Linked DNA regions of Oryzias latipes. The protein of the gene in region 2 purifies or fractionates together with the protein of the main gene of each other region. This does not show direct contact. Links are inferred from orthologs where the notes say so. Each region holds a gene or a part of one and is shown on either strand. Other genes may lie near its edges.

Region 1 (4,356 bases), on a different chromosome or scaffold from region 2:
AATGAACAGGGGTCTGCAACCACAGGCGGCCCCTTTAACAGTCTGTGGTAGCTCTTTGGCTTTAACCTCTTCAGATCTGTGTGTGGACATCACAGTTAAATTGGGTTAGATGACCACATTTCTGCTTAAACTGAGCCCTGTAATTACTTGATTCGAGGGTTATCTCAAACATTAGCCTGGGTCTTAAGAGGTTTAAACAACGCACAACGATGTCTGGTTGTTGTTCAGAGTTTTTGAAGTCTGTATTTTGCATTTACACGAGTGGATTTAAAAAATTGTTTTCTACACCTATGTTTAGTTTTGACAGTAAAAGAAATAAACAGGATGAAAGCGCACCAAAGTCATGACAGAAAATGTCACGTTTGACCTGTTTTTTGTGTATTTTTATTGTAAGTAAATCTGCTGCATCAGAAGGATCTTATTTGACACAGCGTGCACTTTATTTTGAAAGGAACACAGATCTGCTGCTGTAAAGAGTAAAGAAGTTCCAGATGTTATCTATAGAAAAATATAAGATTTTAGAAATATTTAAAAGGTAAATCTTACAAAGGAATGGGTGTAAAAAGGTGTATTTTTCTAAAAGGTTAAGTGGGACGGCCCTTTGAGCGTTTCAGAATGAAGATGTAAGGAGGTTATGTATGTGGGTCTGACGGTCTGGGTCGTGGTTTCTTCCAGGGGTGTTTATCTGCAGAGGGAAGGAGGATGCCCTCGTCACCAAAAACATGGTGGTGGGAGAGTCTGTGTACGGGGAGAAGAGGATGAGCGTGGAGGTAAAGAGCCGCTTCTGTATTGTGAGGTTGTCCCTGTAGCTCCAGTGCTGAAGGGTTGGTTAACCCTCAGCCTCTGGTCCCTGCAACAGCAAAGTGTAAAAACTGAAACCATAACTCCTGTTTTTAAAATGTTTGGATCCTTTCCTGCTAGATGACGTAAACTCTTGGCTGGCTTCTGCAGCAGAGCTGGACTTGGTGGATTTTTCTTCTGGAAGATGATTGTGGATTTCCTGTTTTTGATCAGGAGGGTGATACTAAGATTGAGTACAGAGCCTGGAATCCTTTCCGCTCCAAACTAGCAGCTGCCATTCTTGGAGGAGTTGACCAGATTCACATCAAACCCGGAGCCAAGGTCATGTACCTTGGAGCCGCATCGGGAACCACGGTGTCCCACGTCTCTGACATCGTTGGGCCAGTAAGTACATTTCAGAAGTAATCGCATTGTTGTTGCTGTTGTGAAAATGCGTCACTGCTGTCAGTACCCATATGTGGTTTGATCAATATGCAGCTTTGACACATTTTGTCAGAATAAACCGTCTGACTCCGCCCCCTCTAGACTCATGTTGGATCTTGTTTTTGTTTTAAGGAGGGGCTGGTCTATGCAGTGGAATTCTCCCACCGATCTGGCCGCGATCTCCTCAATGTGGCTAAGAAACGCACCAACATCATCCCCATCATCGAAGACGCCCGCCATCCGCACAAGTACCGCATGCTGGTTGGTAGGTGTCAGTGCCTCAGCACAGCGGCTGTGCGGACAGAGCGCTTCTCCTCCCCGGCCTCACGTTGGCGCTGTGCTCCTCTGCAGGCATGGTGGACGTGATCTTTGCTGACGTCGCTCAGCCTGACCAGACCAGAATCGTGGCCCTTAATGCTCACAACTTCCTGAAGAATGGTGGACACTTTGTCATCTCCATTAAGGTATGACGGCTCACATTTCCGTTGGAGACGCACTACCCTGGGGATGAGGAGAGGATGTGGTGTTGAGAAGGAATCCGTGTTTTGTGTGTATCTGTTCGGTTCTGATCATAGTTCTCTCCTGATTCAGGCCAACTGCATCGACTCCACAGCAGCTCCAGAGGCTGTGTTTGCGTCAGAAGTGAAGAAGATGAGCTCAGAGAACATGAAACCGCAGGAGCAGCTCACCCTGGAGCCCTATGAGAGGGACCATGCGGTAGTGGTGGGCATCTACAGGTAAAGTATGGAACGTTTGACGGCTTGGGTCAGTGGGTACCAGCAGGTGATGGTAACACATTTCAGAGGATCAGACATGCTTACAGCCTGCGCTGCTGCACGTCCTGCTACTAAACCCAGAGAACACTGCTCCATTTTTAAACCGCTTTGATCTAAAATCAAACAGGAATTTGACATATTTTGCCATTTTGGTCTGTATTTAGAACAGCAGGGGCTTGTCAACATGCAGCCTCTGAAGCTACGTTCACACCGGGCTCAGAAACGCATGTTCAAGCAACTGCTTCCACTGAAAAGTAAATGCGCTTTTAAGGCTTCCTTGTTTTTTGGAAGTCCGTTTTTGGGCTCAGTGTACAAAATGCACGGCCACTGAACGCGCATCACTAGTTTAAACCCGTTGAACTTTGACTAATCGGGGACTCTTTGATGGCGACGTCTGGATGGCGTCCTTTTCAAAACACGGAAGTGCCAATCGTATAAAAATTGATCGTGAAGGAGAAAATAACTGTGGTTTAGTGTCCGGCCGGAATTCAATGACACAAAGTCTTTCATATATTGGAATAGAGCTGCGAAAGAAAGTCTGGAGCAAAATTTACCCGATTAGCACCGTTTCCACATTTCCCACGTAGACTTGTCCAACTGTGAGTGAATGCGCCAATAATGGGCAACACCGTCTGCTAAAAGCGTGTTCAAGAATGCCCGTTGCGTTCTTGAACACGCTTCACACGACCGGTGAGGACATAGCACAAGTCATCTCTGACCGTCAGTGATGCTGCAGAGACGAAGACGGGCGCTGGTTTCAGTATCACTGTGTTTAACCGAAGGAGCCTTTTTGCAAACGAAAAACATTCACTTTGAAGAGTGAATGTTCTTTATTTGGCATTTCGTTTAATATTTACAGTAAACTTTTATCAGTAAACAAAGGAATGTTGTGTCCGTTAACATCTAAATACAGGGAAAGAAAAGAAAAAGTAGAAGCAAAGAACTCGTGGAAGTGCAATCAGAAAAGCCTTTGACCCACATGTTCGTCTTTAAACTTCTGTTTTTTATAAACGCTGCAGCGCTTAGAGTAAAATGTCTGCAGAGATTTAACATTTGTACTCCACAAAGAGGACATGATGGTTACATCCTCTCCTCACTTCATTTACTGCATCTCATTGATGTAGAACAAAACCTGATAAAGGGGAAAACATCCTGGTATGTTCTGGCTTTCTGTGGATGATCTGGTATCTCATGAACTGTGAACTGCTGTGATTGGCTAAAGGAGATCTGATGTTTGTGTTTCATGAAAAATCCAACATCTTTAGACGTCAGATAATTGGATAATTGGGTTCAATGTCAAAGAAGTGACGTCTTTCTGTTTTCTGATTCCAGACCGCCACCAAAGCAGAAGAAATGAGGTGAACGAGAAGACCTTTGACACTGGCTGTTTTTACCTTTTTTTTCTTCCCTTCTTCTTCAGTGTTTTTTTGCTTTTGTAAAGTCCTGAGCCCCCCCCCCCCTCCTCTGACTAAAGACTGGTTGCCCTAACTTCCTCAAAGGAATAAGCAGCCCTGTTCTCTGACTAGACGAGGCTGGAAAGGTGTCATTCGTGGTTACTCGCTGCGACTTCAGCCTACTGCTGTCTAAGAAACCTGCTAACGCTTTGAGGTTCAGTTGTCACAAGCGTGGTCCGACTCACATGTTCGCTCATCCCTTCATGGATGTTTGTGGATCTCTCCATGGAAATAACCTATAACTGTTTAAGGAGCCTCTCCAGGCGTGAGAGGAAGACCACTTTCATTTGGTTATCAGTCCATCAGATTGCATGGTTGATGAGAAAATATATATTTGAACCCAGCCGTTTTTCTCCTTTTTTTTAAATAAAGAAGAAACTTCTAATTTCTCTGTTACTGTTTGAAATGAGCACATGTCAAGAACTCCGTGTCCACATGTTTACCAATGTCCCATTCAGCTCTTCCCATCTGTCCCAACGCTGTTGGAACTTCATCCAGCATCTGCTTCAGTCGCTGAGTGACGAGACACGAAGGCATCCCTATTAGTCAGAAGGAGCCCATGGTGCCAGTCTAAGCTTCTGCAACTGTTCCTTACTGATGGCCTACAGATGCTTTAGGATCCAGCTTTTGGTTCTCTCCATTGTGGGACGTCAGTGTGCACGCGGAAGCCAGCCATCCTCTGGTTCATCTGCATGCCAGCAGAGCCTGGTCTGGCCTTGGTTTGCACCAGATTCAGGTGGGCTAATGCCAAACCCAGAGAAGCGACAGTGTGGATCAAACCTGTTACTGTGGGGTTTGTTGCCGTTTCAAATTGTTCAGCTAACCTTCAAAGAACCTAGCTTGAGCCAATGTGATCCATCCCTAACCCTGGTACAGCTGGTCCAGGCTAACCTGACCTGGGC
Region 2 (4,142 bases):
TATGTATTCATTTTAAAATTATTTTAATTTTAGTAATTTTATTAATCGCATCTTTAGTTTTACTGTGTTGAAAGATGAAATTCTGTTCACTGAACAAAGTTTATGTAAAAAAATAACCTTATTTCTGACAATTTCAGAAATGAGATAAAGGTAAAACGTTCTAAATGTTTTTTAAATAAATTGTAAGAAAAAAATTGTTTAGACCCAAAATTCTGTTTTTAAAATGAAAACAATGTATTGCAAAGCACTACTGGATTACACTTTGAATTAATTCTTTAATACTCATTTATTTGGTAAACATTTAACTTTGTACATTGTAGAGACGTATCTTCTAGAGTCCTTCAGTTTCAGACACTTGTTTTAAATTACATTTCTAACTGGATGAGATGCTTGGAAAAAAATGTTTAATTTCTATGATGTTTTTCTGTCTTCCATTTAAAGTCTCCTTGGTCTCCACTACTTCTGCATAAAGTAAACACTTCTTAAAGGGAAAAAAAATAAAACACAGGAATTACATTAATAAAAAATGTTTATTAGGAAATGATGTTGGTTTTGGACACTGATAGAAGCAAAGCTGCTATGATCACCAAAAAAATAAAAAATAAACACCTAAAAGTATTTTGTTAAAGTAAATAAACTCAAATGAGAACAGAAAATGAGCACAGAGATCACACCAGCAGTCTCTCGATTGCCATTTGGACCGACTGGATCTGCGGCTTGAGCTGGGATCCTTCCTTTATAGTGACGGAGGTGGCGATGACGGGACGCGACACGCCGCAGGCCCGGCCCAGCGCCTGCTTGGAGCGCACAAACACGTACGGGACGTTCTTGTCCTCGCAGAGCAGCGGCAGGTGGAGGATGATCTCCAGCGGCTCAGCGTCAGCAGCCATCACAATGAACTCCGCGATGCCTCTGTTCAGGGTTTTGGTCGCTGTGGAGGAGAGAGCAGAGTCGCCTCGCTGTCAGAACACAGGAAAATGTAAACAATATTAACAATAATAATATTACTCCAAACCCTTGGAAGGTTTGATGATATAAAGTGTCAGAATATAAGATGACATACAAACATTTTTTTTTATATCAGGATGCTTAACTATGAAGCAAAACGAAGACAAAATGGCGTTTTTCAAATATCTGGACAGCATCTAGAATCGCTTGGATTCATCTAGATCCTACAAATATTTGGCTTGTTCATTTTTTTTATTACCTCAGCTTTAAATTGACTGTTTATGAATAAAATGCATTTATTTGAAGCTTTTTTTAAACCAGAAAGTCCTGTTTAACACAGTTATGCAACCTTAATATCTCCTACTGATCGATTTTGTAGAAAGAATTAAAGAAATACGAATGAAATTCTGTTTCAATTGGAAAAAAGTGACAACAATTCATCTATGGATTAATTTCCACTTAAACATTTGACTTATTGAAAAATATTTGTGCAAAAACAGTTTTTTTATTGAATAGTTTATTAAATATTTTATACTTGTTTTCAGCTGTGAACAGCAGTTATGAATAAAAGGAGTTTAAAGCTAAACAGAAATGGAAATTTGCTATAAAAAATGTCATTTAACTCATTTTACTTTAGAATCAGTGTTTTAGCAGAGATGCAGCCCTGCATTCTCCAGCTTAGAGGGCTGTTTTGAATTTACAGCAGACTTTATGGGTTTTTTTTAGAAACACATTGGAGGTTAGAGTGAAGAGGGTCAACCTGCCAAAATAAAAGTTGCTTTCACAGGTAAGAAGCCTCCTCAGGATTTTTGCTCTGGTGAAAAATGTCTGCTGAAACACCAGATTCTTCTTCAACTCTTTCACGCTATCTACTCTTTCTGGTTTAGGTACATTAATCATAGGCTTTAAATATTGGGTGATTTTTACCGGAAGTGAGAGAATCAAGCCTACTAAGCGCTTTATTTTATTTCGTTTCATCATGATGTTTCACGAATTTTGTCGTTAATACAGATAAAGACTGCGATAAATCCCAAGAATATTACACCGATCAGCTAAATATTTCTCCTTTAATTCCCTTACCTTCGTTGGCCCCCTTCCTCAGCTGCTTGTAGTTGGAGGCTTGCTGCACCAAATCCAAAATAGTTTTGGTCAACGTGGCGTCGGCCAGCGGGTAAGCCTTTGGGTTAACCTCAGGTTCTGACTGTTGACAAAAAATAATAATAATAATGAAACACAATAATTACTTTAAATTTAGAATAGCCAGATTACAGCACCCCGCGTGCTGTTATCAGATGCTAATAGCTAGCGGCTTTCGTTAGCTTGCTAGCTCAAGACAAACTACACTCACCATTTTGATTTTCTTTGATATTCCGGCCCTCTCGGCGAAATGCTTCACGGAGGACTAATTCCTTTAACGGGATCGAAATAAGTATAGCGAACGCCAAAAGTGGTAAATTGCGTCTCAAAACCTTCCAAAGGCTGCAGCTCGTGCAAACGTTTACCCCACGTGTGTAGGTCTGCACATGCGCAATATGCACATCAGTAAAAGAAAAATGGTTCGCCCTCTTGAGGTCATACTTTTAACCATTGAACTGTTATTTAACCAGTTTTAGCTTTTAAATATTTACAATAATTAAAATATGATGATGAGTTAAATGAAAGTGATAGTTTTCTAGTTTACAAGAATTTCAACTTATTTTACTTGTGACAGCAGCTGCAGTTCCTTTCAAAATAAAATACCCCCTACACAGATCGGTTGTAGCAGATAAACAGATTCCGAGTTTACAAATAGAGTTAAAACTGCTAGACAGATGCACCCATAATTCGTTTTCTCATTTTACTATTGAATATAAACATGACAACATTGGGGCAAAATCCACTTTTTTTTAACCTGAACATCTGTTTGCAATTCTATACTTTAATTTTGCTTCTGAATAGCATCTAGTCATTGTTGATCAACAGAAATAAGGACTGTTGCTTTATGTGCATCATTTTGCTCAGTTTTCTAAATTTAAAAAATTATAAAACACAACTGTCAACTAAAAGAAATGAACCAAAACCACAAATCCATTATTTATGTTAGTATTATCATTAGCATTTTTTCTTCAAAACCAAAGAGCCACAATGAAAGATTATAAGAGCCACCTCGGCTTGCAGATGATATCCCTATGTTAAATAAATTAAAAATTGAGAGCACAATTTATGTAGAATCCAGATAATGTTGTGTTTGCTCTGAAAAAAATAAGTTACTTCTTTTTATTTTATTTTTCAAATAACAGAGTAAAACTTTAATACTAAAGCACTTTTCATATACCAGCATCATTATTATTATAACGCTCTTCTTTCTGGTGCTAAGAAAAAATACAATTGATTTTAAACGGCACACATCTTAACCACAAGCAGACAGTGGAGTTTTTTTTTTTTAGGAAAAAACCCTCAAAACTCATCTTTTCCACTTTGCTCTTAAGTAGTTTTTACATGTTTGAATATGTGTGTGGGCTATTATTCTTGTTTACAATTTATTTATTTAATGTAAATCACTCTGAAGTGTTTGTAACAAGAAAAATGCTCCATAAATAAAGTTGAATTTGAATTTTAAATACTTCTTCTCCTGAATGGAAACATCCTTTCATTGTTGTGTGATGTGTTTCGTGATGAAATTGTGAAATTGTTCAATTATCGCAAAATTAGATATTTTTGTTAAGAAAATAAACCTATTTACACGAGCAAAATGTCCCGTAAATTAGTAAATTTGAATGTCATTCTCTGTTCTTAGTTTTTAAATTAGTATCTCCAGCATGACCGCTTTTACTATCGTCTCTAACCTAAAAACTTAAATCCTGCAGCTGTTAAATTAGGAGACCCAACTCCAAATTGCTAGAGGAGCTAAGATGGCGGTCCGTGCGGTCAACTTTTTGTGAGCTGCTACGGTCCGGTCCCAAAATATCCCTTTTGACCTCATTTTCAAACTGCTGAACTAGTTTTGCTTTTTTTTGTATTACTCTCAAGTCTTACCACTGTAAAGAGACAAGAACGAAGTGAGAAAAACAACAACAGCAATAATAATTAAGAGCTCCTAGAATGCCACGGGAAAAGCCTGTATCGGAGAAGCCGACTCCCGCATCCAAAAACCCAGAGATGACGACACATGACCACGAATACGCCATGGAAGTTTCCTCGCTGTCTACTAAAAG

The links.
Region 1: the proteins of snu13 (region 2) and fbl purify together in Homo sapiens (affinity purification with mass spectrometry; 5 studies listed by BioGRID and IntAct, with this or other methods). This does not show direct contact. The link is inferred for Oryzias latipes from reciprocal best matches to the Homo sapiens genes SNU13 and FBL.

The regions. Positions count from the first base shown.
Region 1 is NC_019874.2:7,461,975-7,466,330, forward strand, and holds the end of fbl (rRNA 2'-O-methyltransferase fibrillarin), read left to right. Parts: intron 1-675; coding exon 676-770; intron 771-1,014; coding exon 1,015-1,185; intron 1,186-1,356; coding exon 1,357-1,489; intron 1,490-1,575; coding exon 1,576-1,688; intron 1,689-1,815; coding exon 1,816-1,961; intron 1,962-3,332; coding exon 3,333-3,357; 3' UTR 3,358-3,839; downstream 3,840-4,356.
Region 2 is NC_019877.2:3,754,722-3,758,863, forward strand, and holds snu13 (NHP2-like protein 1), read right to left. Parts: upstream 2,498-4,142; 5' UTR 2,300-2,497; coding exon 2,297-2,299; intron 2,150-2,296; coding exon 2,029-2,149; intron 932-2,028; coding exon 669-931; 3' UTR 512-668; downstream 1-511.